Linked DNA regions of Caenorhabditis elegans. The protein of the gene in region 1 interacts with the protein of each later gene in a pairwise test. Each region holds a gene or a part of one and is shown on either strand. Other genes may lie near its edges. The genes, in order: cct-1 and mrt-2.

Evidence for each region.
Region 2: the proteins of cct-1 (region 1) and mrt-2 interact in a two-hybrid assay, tested with the Caenorhabditis elegans proteins (2 studies listed by BioGRID).

The regions. Positions count from the first base shown.
Region 1 is NC_003280.10:8,183,626-8,187,544, forward strand, and holds the start of cct-1 (T-complex protein 1 subunit alpha), read left to right. Parts: upstream 1-1,817; 5' UTR 1,818-1,820; coding exon 1,821-1,896; intron 1,897-1,940; coding exon 1,941-2,364; intron 2,365-2,408; coding exon 2,409-2,714; intron 2,715-2,759; coding exon 2,760-3,416; intron 3,417-3,574; coding exon 3,575-3,761; 3' UTR 3,762-3,919. Other genes in the region: Segment polarity protein dishevelled homolog mig-5, read right to left, coding at 1-63, 110-232, 275-752, 805-880, 922-1,075, 1,130-1,278, 1,345-1,383. UniProt on the Caenorhabditis elegans protein: Molecular chaperone; assists the folding of proteins upon ATP hydrolysis. Known to play a role, in vitro, in the folding of actin and tubulin.
Region 2 is NC_003281.10:11,744,838-11,748,756, forward strand, and holds the start of mrt-2 (Cell cycle checkpoint protein RAD1 homolog mrt-2), read left to right. Parts: upstream 1-1,928; 5' UTR 1,929-2,125; intron 2,126-2,206; 5' UTR 2,207-2,211; coding exon 2,212-2,310; intron 2,311-2,381; coding exon 2,382-2,537; intron 2,538-2,596; coding exon 2,597-2,737; intron 2,738-2,785; coding exon 2,786-2,866; intron 2,867-3,919. UniProt on the Caenorhabditis elegans protein: May be a component of the 9-1-1 cell-cycle checkpoint response complex that plays a major role in DNA repair. Promotes DNA double strand break-induced cell cycle arrest and apoptosis, thereby playing a role in genome stability.

The DNA.
Region 1 (3,919 bases):
ATTGTAGTTGCCGTTTGCTCCTGTGGATCCAAACCCAGAGCTTTCATTTTTTCAGTGTTCTGCCTGTAAGTATCAAATTAAGAAAATAAATCTTGCGAGGTACCCTTACACAGCGGTTTCTACCCAAACTCCAACGTCGAGGGGCATCGTTTCAGACGCCATGGACGCGAGTGGATCATCATATTCACTTGGGGCACCTCTTGCAAACTTACTGATATAAAGAGTAATTGGTCTAAAAATTAAAAAAAATTAATGCTAATGCGTAGAAAAATACCTTTTGGAGGATGCAGCTTCTCTGAGCGAACGAACTGCTTGAGGCCCACTGAGTTCTTCAAAGGATACTCTATTAACTTGAAGAATCTGATCACCAACGTTCACACGTCCATCTTTTTCAACGGCACCTTCTGGTGCAATTTCGGAAACGAATATATGACCATCAATTGTGCACACGCTCAGTCCCAGATATGGAACATTTTTCATTGGTAGATAAATTTCCAGAATTCGAGGGAGGCCGCTGTTAACACTTGATTCCGTCGCTGAGCTAATAGTACTTGGAACATACGGTCTTCTGAATCTTTCTTTCTTTTGTTTTTTCCTTCTTCTATCGTCATCGTATATCTTATTCATATCACGAGCAGCGAGAGGTTCGTAGAGCGAAGAATCATCTCCTGTTCGACGTGTATGCTCGTCATATTGATACGGATCCTCTGAATTTGAAGTGTATAATTCTGCCAGATGCTCTCCTGCTCTTCCTGAAAAACGTTCATACAGGTTTTTAAGAGTACATAAATAGCAAAAACTCACTGCTAACAATGGTGCTCGGAGCAAGACTAGCATCAGAGTACGGAGTCGCGTCAAAGTCTGCACTTCGTCGGCGGCGCTTAAAATATCAGTTTTTTTTGAAAATAACAGAAATCGAACCTTATCTAGAGCAGTTCTCTGTGGTCGCGTCATTGTTCCACTGTTTCGAGGAAGAGTTCCATATCCTGGAGTGCTAACGAGAAAAATCTCATAAAATCCATTCTGGGATTTGCGCAGCCGATCCGAATCAGTTGTTAATTCGACTTTAACTTCTCTGAACATTTTTCAGTACAGAATAATTACAAAAATTAAAAAAGCCAAAACTCACCGTTGAATATCCGGGTCAAGTTCCTTCGCATAATACTTATATCCACGCTTGGTGAATGAATTTTTGAAATTTCCAAGCGTCGCTACTCCTTCTCTGGCTTCAATAACAGAAACATAGGGAGTCGTTTCATCGTCGAGATAGTAGAAGACCTGGAAGAAAATTATTTCTGTTTAATCACTGGCTTAATAAAAAACAATTCTGATCAAAATTCTTACTTTTATCTGGCTGCAGTCTGATGTGCATGGCGGCTCCATAAATGTTAGAAATCTGAATTCAATATTTTAAATTATAGACCAATAAAATATTTATAAAAATTACAAGAGGAAACAAAAAAAACAAATTTGTTTGCAAAGGACTAGCGGAAACAATTTTATTTTTAATTTATCGGCAATAAATCGCGGGTGGGAACAATGTTGCAAATACGCCCTAGTGACAGCTGGTGTTGGGTCTCGGCACGATTACCCTTCTAGCATGCATGAAGTACGATGCGCTCTGAGAATATTCTACAAGAATTTTAATTTTGATTCAGAATTCAAGGGATCCCCGATTTTCTGGAAGCATTTTTATTTTTACTGAAATATTTTCATTTTTACGTATATTTTTATTTTTGAGTGCTTATTCAAAGCCCCTTTTTGACTCAATATCGAATGTCCTACTCTATTGCTAAGTTAATACGGTTGTGTTTCAGGTAATGGCATCAGCTGGAGATTCCATTCTTGCCCTCACCGGTAAAAGAACTACTGGACAAGGCATCAGATCTCAGAATGGTAACACCGAAAGCTCAATATAAGTATACATTAATTAATTGCAGTCACCGCGGCAGTTGCGATCGCCAATATTGTGAAGTCATCTCTTGGCCCTGTCGGACTTGATAAAATGCTTGTCGATGATGTTGGAGATGTCATTGTCACAAATGACGGAGCCACAATTCTGAAACAACTCGAGGTTGAGCATCCGGCTGGAAAAGTGCTTGTAGAACTTGCACAGCTGCAAGACGAGGAGGTCGGAGATGGAACTACTTCTGTCGTTATTGTGGCGGCTGAGCTCTTGAAGAGAGCCGATGAGCTTGTGAAACAAAAAGTTCATCCGACGACTATTATCAATGGTTACCGTCTCGCGTGCAAGGAAGCCGTCAAGTACATTAGTGAAAACATCTCATTCACTTCCGACTCGATTGGTAGACAATCAGTTGTCAACGCTGCCAAAACTTCCATGAGCAGTAAGATTATCGGACCGTGAGTTTGGTGTTGTCTATGCTTCAAGAAAATTGATTTTTCAGAGACGCCGATTTCTTCGGAGAGCTGGTTGTTGATGCCGCGGAAGCTGTTCGTGTGGAAAATAACGGGAAAGTCACTTATCCTATCAATGCAGTCAATGTTCTGAAGGCCCACGGAAAGAGCGCTCGCGAATCAGTTTTGGTGAAAGGATATGCACTCAATTGCACAGTTGCCAGTCAGGCCATGCCACTTCGTGTTCAAAATGCCAAGATCGCATGTCTCGATTTCTCTTTGATGAAGGCTAAGATGCACCTCGGTATTTCAGTCGTTGTTGAAGATCCAGCCAAGCTTGAGGCTATTCGCAGAGAGTGAGTTGAAACTATTCGTTTCTTTTTAAGCTATGGAATTTTCAGAGAATTCGATATTACCAAACGCCGCATTGATAAAATTTTGAAAGCCGGAGCCAACGTTGTTCTTACAACTGGAGGTATCGATGATTTGTGCTTGAAGCAATTTGTCGAATCTGGAGCTATGGCTGTTCGTCGATGCAAGAAATCAGACTTGAAGAGAATTGCCAAAGCTACTGGAGCCACATTGACTGTTTCCTTGGCTACTTTGGAAGGAGATGAAGCTTTCGATGCCTCGCTTCTTGGACATGCCGATGAAATTGTTCAAGAAAGAATTAGTGACGACGAGCTCATTCTCATCAAGGGACCGAAATCTCGTACTGCCAGCAGCATTATCCTCCGTGGAGCGAACGATGTGATGCTCGATGAAATGGAGAGATCGGTTCACGACTCACTCTGTGTTGTTCGTAGAGTTCTGGAAAGCAAGAAACTTGTGGCTGGAGGAGGTGCTGTTGAGACTTCTCTCAGTCTTTTCCTTGAAACTTATGCACAAACCTTGTCTTCTCGCGAGCAGCTTGCTGTTGCTGAATTCGCTTCAGCGCTTCTCATCATTCCGAAGGTTTTGGCAAGCAATGCTGCAAGAGATTCTACTGATTTAGTGACAAAACTCCGCGCGTACCACTCCAAAGCTCAATTGATCCCACAACTTCAACACCTCAAGTGGTAAGTGAAAATGTTTTTTTTAAAGAGTAGGTTATTACATGTTAGCTTAATGTAATAAAATTAAAATAATTTATTTCAAAAAATTTCGTTTTGTGCTTAGAAAAAGCGTCTAATTCATGTTTTCTGAATTTGAGTCAGTTTATTCACTCTTTTTTTAGGGCTGGTTTGGATCTCGAAGAAGGCACGATCCGCGATAACAAGGAGGCTGGAATTTTGGAGCCAGCTCTTAGTAAGGTCAAGTCTCTGAAGTTCGCCACTGAGGCAGCCATTACGATATTGCGTATTGATGACCTCATCAAACTTGACAAGCAAGAGCCACTTGGAGGAGATGATTGCCACGCTTAAATTTTCCCGTTTACCCCGTTTATATATCCCTGTTTTCCGCGTGCTTCTCACATAATTCCGATCTGCTGCTCCTTATCCCAAATTCTCATGTTCAGCTTTTGTTTTCTTCTTTTGATGATACTTTATTGAACGAAATGTTGTAAGTTTTAATGTTTTGA
Region 2 (3,919 bases), on another chromosome or scaffold:
CAGAGTGTCTCATTTCGGCTTGATCTACGTAGATCTACGAAAATGCGGGAGTTGAGACGCAGAGTTTTCAACTGATTTCGCATGGTTAAGAACGTGCTGACGTCACATTTTGTTGGGCAAAAAATGCCCGCGTTTTTGTAGATCAAACCGTAATGGGACAGCCTGGCACCACGTGAAATTCCAGAAAAAATGTCTGAACCTACTGTAGTTCACAATTTAAAGGCGCATACCAAAAAATTATAGCGGGAATTAAATTTTTATTTAATAATTTTTTCAGTTACAGAGCAATTAAAAAATTCAATTTCATCAAAATTTTATAGACCAATTTTCTCGCTTTATAGCTGAGCTCCGCGAGCCAAAATAGGAAGGGGAGCACGAAAAAAAAACAGAAAAATGAGCTCGACAGAGCCCATAGCCTCAAGCGCTAACGAACCAAAAAATGCACACACACACAGGAGGCGGAGTCGTGGAAATTTCGAAAAAAAAAACAAGATTTTCTTCTCTCTCGGCTCAAATTTGAATGCGGAGCAAGAATATTACGGGAACAAAAAATTCTGAGAATGCGTACTGCACAACATATTTGACGCGCAAAATATCTCGTTGCGAAAAGCAAACTACAGTGATTCTTTAAATGACATTTGTAGTGTCGATTTACGGGATCTCGATTTTCGAAATGAATTCATTTATCATTGATCGAGCCCGTAAATCGACACACGCACTACAGTAGTAATTTAAAGGGTTACTGTAGTTTTGTTTTCGCTACGAGATATTTTGTGCGTCAAATATGTTGCCCAATACGCATTCTCAGGATTTTTTGTTAGCGTAATAAAATAACAGAAAACACAGAAAAAGGCATGAAATTTAATTTGAAATACCGCGCTGAGTTTTCTAGGCCACGTGTCGTGTACTCCCCGTGGACAAGCGGTTTTTGCCTTATTTTTCTGAAGTACAAATTCTCAAGTACAAGTAAAAAAGTACAAATTTTACCAAATTTGAGGAAAAGAACTAGCATGACAAAAATAGAATTAGAAAAATTCTAGAGAAAAACTACGGATTTCTGGCTTCCCTCATAAAATGAAATGGAAGAGTTTGCCGAACTAGGCCATTTTGGCTCAGCCATATCTGGAGTAGATTTACGGCGCGTTCCGTGTCGCGGCTCGATTTTAGTTGTAAAACTAAATGAATTTGTCCGTGTGGAGTACACGACTTTACCACGCGTTGTCCGGCAGGCGATTGTCAATGGAGCGCGAAAAATTCAATGCACCAGATTTGACGCGCAAAATTTGAATTTTCAAGTTGTAAATCCCTTTTTTCTTCCCATTGTCCCATCAAATATCCTTCTTCAAAAAAACCCCTGCGTCTCTCAGGCCATATCTGCGGTAGATTTACGGCGCGTTGCGTGTCGCGTCGCGGCTCGATTTTAGTTGTCTGGCGGGCGATTATCAATGAAGCGCGAATAAATCAATGAGGAAGGCCAGAACCCCGTGAAGATCCAAGAAAAGTTTTCTAGGCCACGTTCCGTGTACTCCACGTGGAAAATGTCCTTTCCGGCAGGAGATTGTCAATGGAGCGCGAAAAATTCAATGCACCAGATTTGACCACGCGTCGTGTACTCCACGTGGAAAATGTGGACACTAGGGATCTACTAAATGCCTGGAAAATCGTAAAAATCTCGAAACTTCCTAAAGAAAAAAAAAGCAAATACACAAAAACGCATTGATGTATGAACAAATTGCCCTCCCCGTCTCCCACCAAAAACTCCCAAAAATTGCTCTTTTTTCATGTTTATATGGGGGACCGCGGGATTTCATAATAGCTCCGTGGTCCGCTCAGCTCATCCGGAGCCAAAAAGAGCACACACACACACGCACACATAAAAGTTGTAAACTAGTTTCGAGCAAAAATGATACGACGGATGAGTGTGTCACGCAATCAGTGAGCTTCTCTCGCTTTCGAAAGAAAAATCTTTTTCGCAAAAAGAAAAAGTACTTTACACTGGCCACAGTGTAAAATAAGGGTGAAAAGATCGAAAATCGGAGGTTTCAAATTTGAATTTCCGCGCAAATGAGAGGGACGAGGTGCGATGGCCTACAAAACTCCGCAGGTGTACTCCTCTCGGAAAACGGTGCGAGAATTAATTTTTTAATTTATATTTAATTTTCAGCGATTTTTCTCAGTTTTCCGGTTAAAATTTAAATTTTTTCAGGAAAAATGATGGAATTAGAAACGGGTCAATGCACAATTATGGAATTGAAAAAAGAAAATGTGAAGGAGCTCGCGCAGGTCTTCAAAACCGTCGCTTTTAAGGATGTTAGTGTTGGAAAATATCGATATTAATTTCATTTTTTTTGAGAAAAAATCTAAATTTTTCAATTTTCCAGACAGGAACGTGGCACGCTTCCGAGGCGGGCATGAAGATCACAGTCGACGATGGATCCTATCAGCTGGCCAGCGTTTTTATCAATCCGGCGTTCTTCTCGAGTTTTAAAGTTCGCGAGGAGATAGTTTCGATGAAAATCTCGATTAAATCGATTTCTGTGAGCCTTTAAAAGCCCATAAAAGCCCAAAAAAGTGGCAAAAAACAAAAAAATTCCAGGAATTCCTGAGCATTTCGGAAAACTCGTCGAGTTCTGTAAAAGTCTCGTATCCGGGAATGTTTCAGCCTGTGAAAATGCTTGTTGAAGACGCAGACGGATGGGTGGCACGTGGCAATTTTACAACAACGCTGGCAGATCAAGTTCGCCGGGTTTTCGAAATTCCTAGATTTTTTTTTGTCTATTTTTAGGAGCTCGACTTTGAATTCGATGACGCTGGTGTGCTGGCGACCTATCTGCTTAAAACTCAAGTTCTCAAGGAGATTATCAAGGTTTTATCATTGAAACCTTTAAACATTCGAAAAAAATTTATTAAACTCCAGACATTTTCCAAAAAAAATTTTTTTTTTTGGATTTTCGAAAAAAATGTTTTTTTTTTGAAATTAAATAAAAAACTTTTTTTTTTACTTTTTTAGTGAAAAAACAAAAAAAATCGGTTTCCCTTCAGAAAAATCGGTGTTTTTCGGTTTTTTTCATATTTTAAAACATTTTCTGAATTTTTTTTTTGACTTTTTGGAAAAAAATTTTTTTTTGGATTTTTTCAAAATGAAATAAAAAACTACTCGAATGTCGCAAAAACAAAAAAATTTCTTTTTGTTCTGACAGATTAACATTTTTTGGTTTTTTTCGACTCCAAAAAAAAATTTCTGAAAAAATTAGCTTTTTTGAAAAAAAAACCATTTTTTTTTAAATTTTTTAGTCGAAAAACGAAAAAAAAAATCGGTTTCCCTTCAGAAAATTATTGTTTTTGGGTTTTTTCCCACATTTTAAAACATTTTCTGAAAAAAAACTTTTTTTCGACTTTTTTGAAAAAAAATTTTTCGGTTTTTCCGATTTTCTAATTTTTCAACAAAAAAAGACGAAAAAAACCAGAAAATTCCGAATTTTAGAGCCAAAAACGAACATTTTCCGTTTTTCAATTTTGAAAAAAAAAACGTTTTATTTTTATTTTTCGATACTTTTTTGTCGAAAAACGAAAAAAAATGTTTTCCGTTCAGAAAAATCGGTGTTTTTTGGTCTGTTTTTCATATTTTAAAACATTTTCTGAAAAAAATTTTTTTTTCGAATTTTTCATTACTTTTCAAAAAAAAAATCCGTTTTTGATTGAAAAAACCTTGATATTTTTCCGATTTTCTAATTTTTCAAAATTAAAAAAAACCAAAAAAAAAATCCGAAAATTCCGACTTTTTGAGCTAAAAACGAAAATTTTCCGTTTTCAATTTTGGAAAAAAAATTTTACTTGAAAATTCGATTTTCGCTTAAAAAGTAGTTTTTATTGTTTCAATTTTTCGAAAATAAAAAAAAATCGATTAAATTGCAGAATT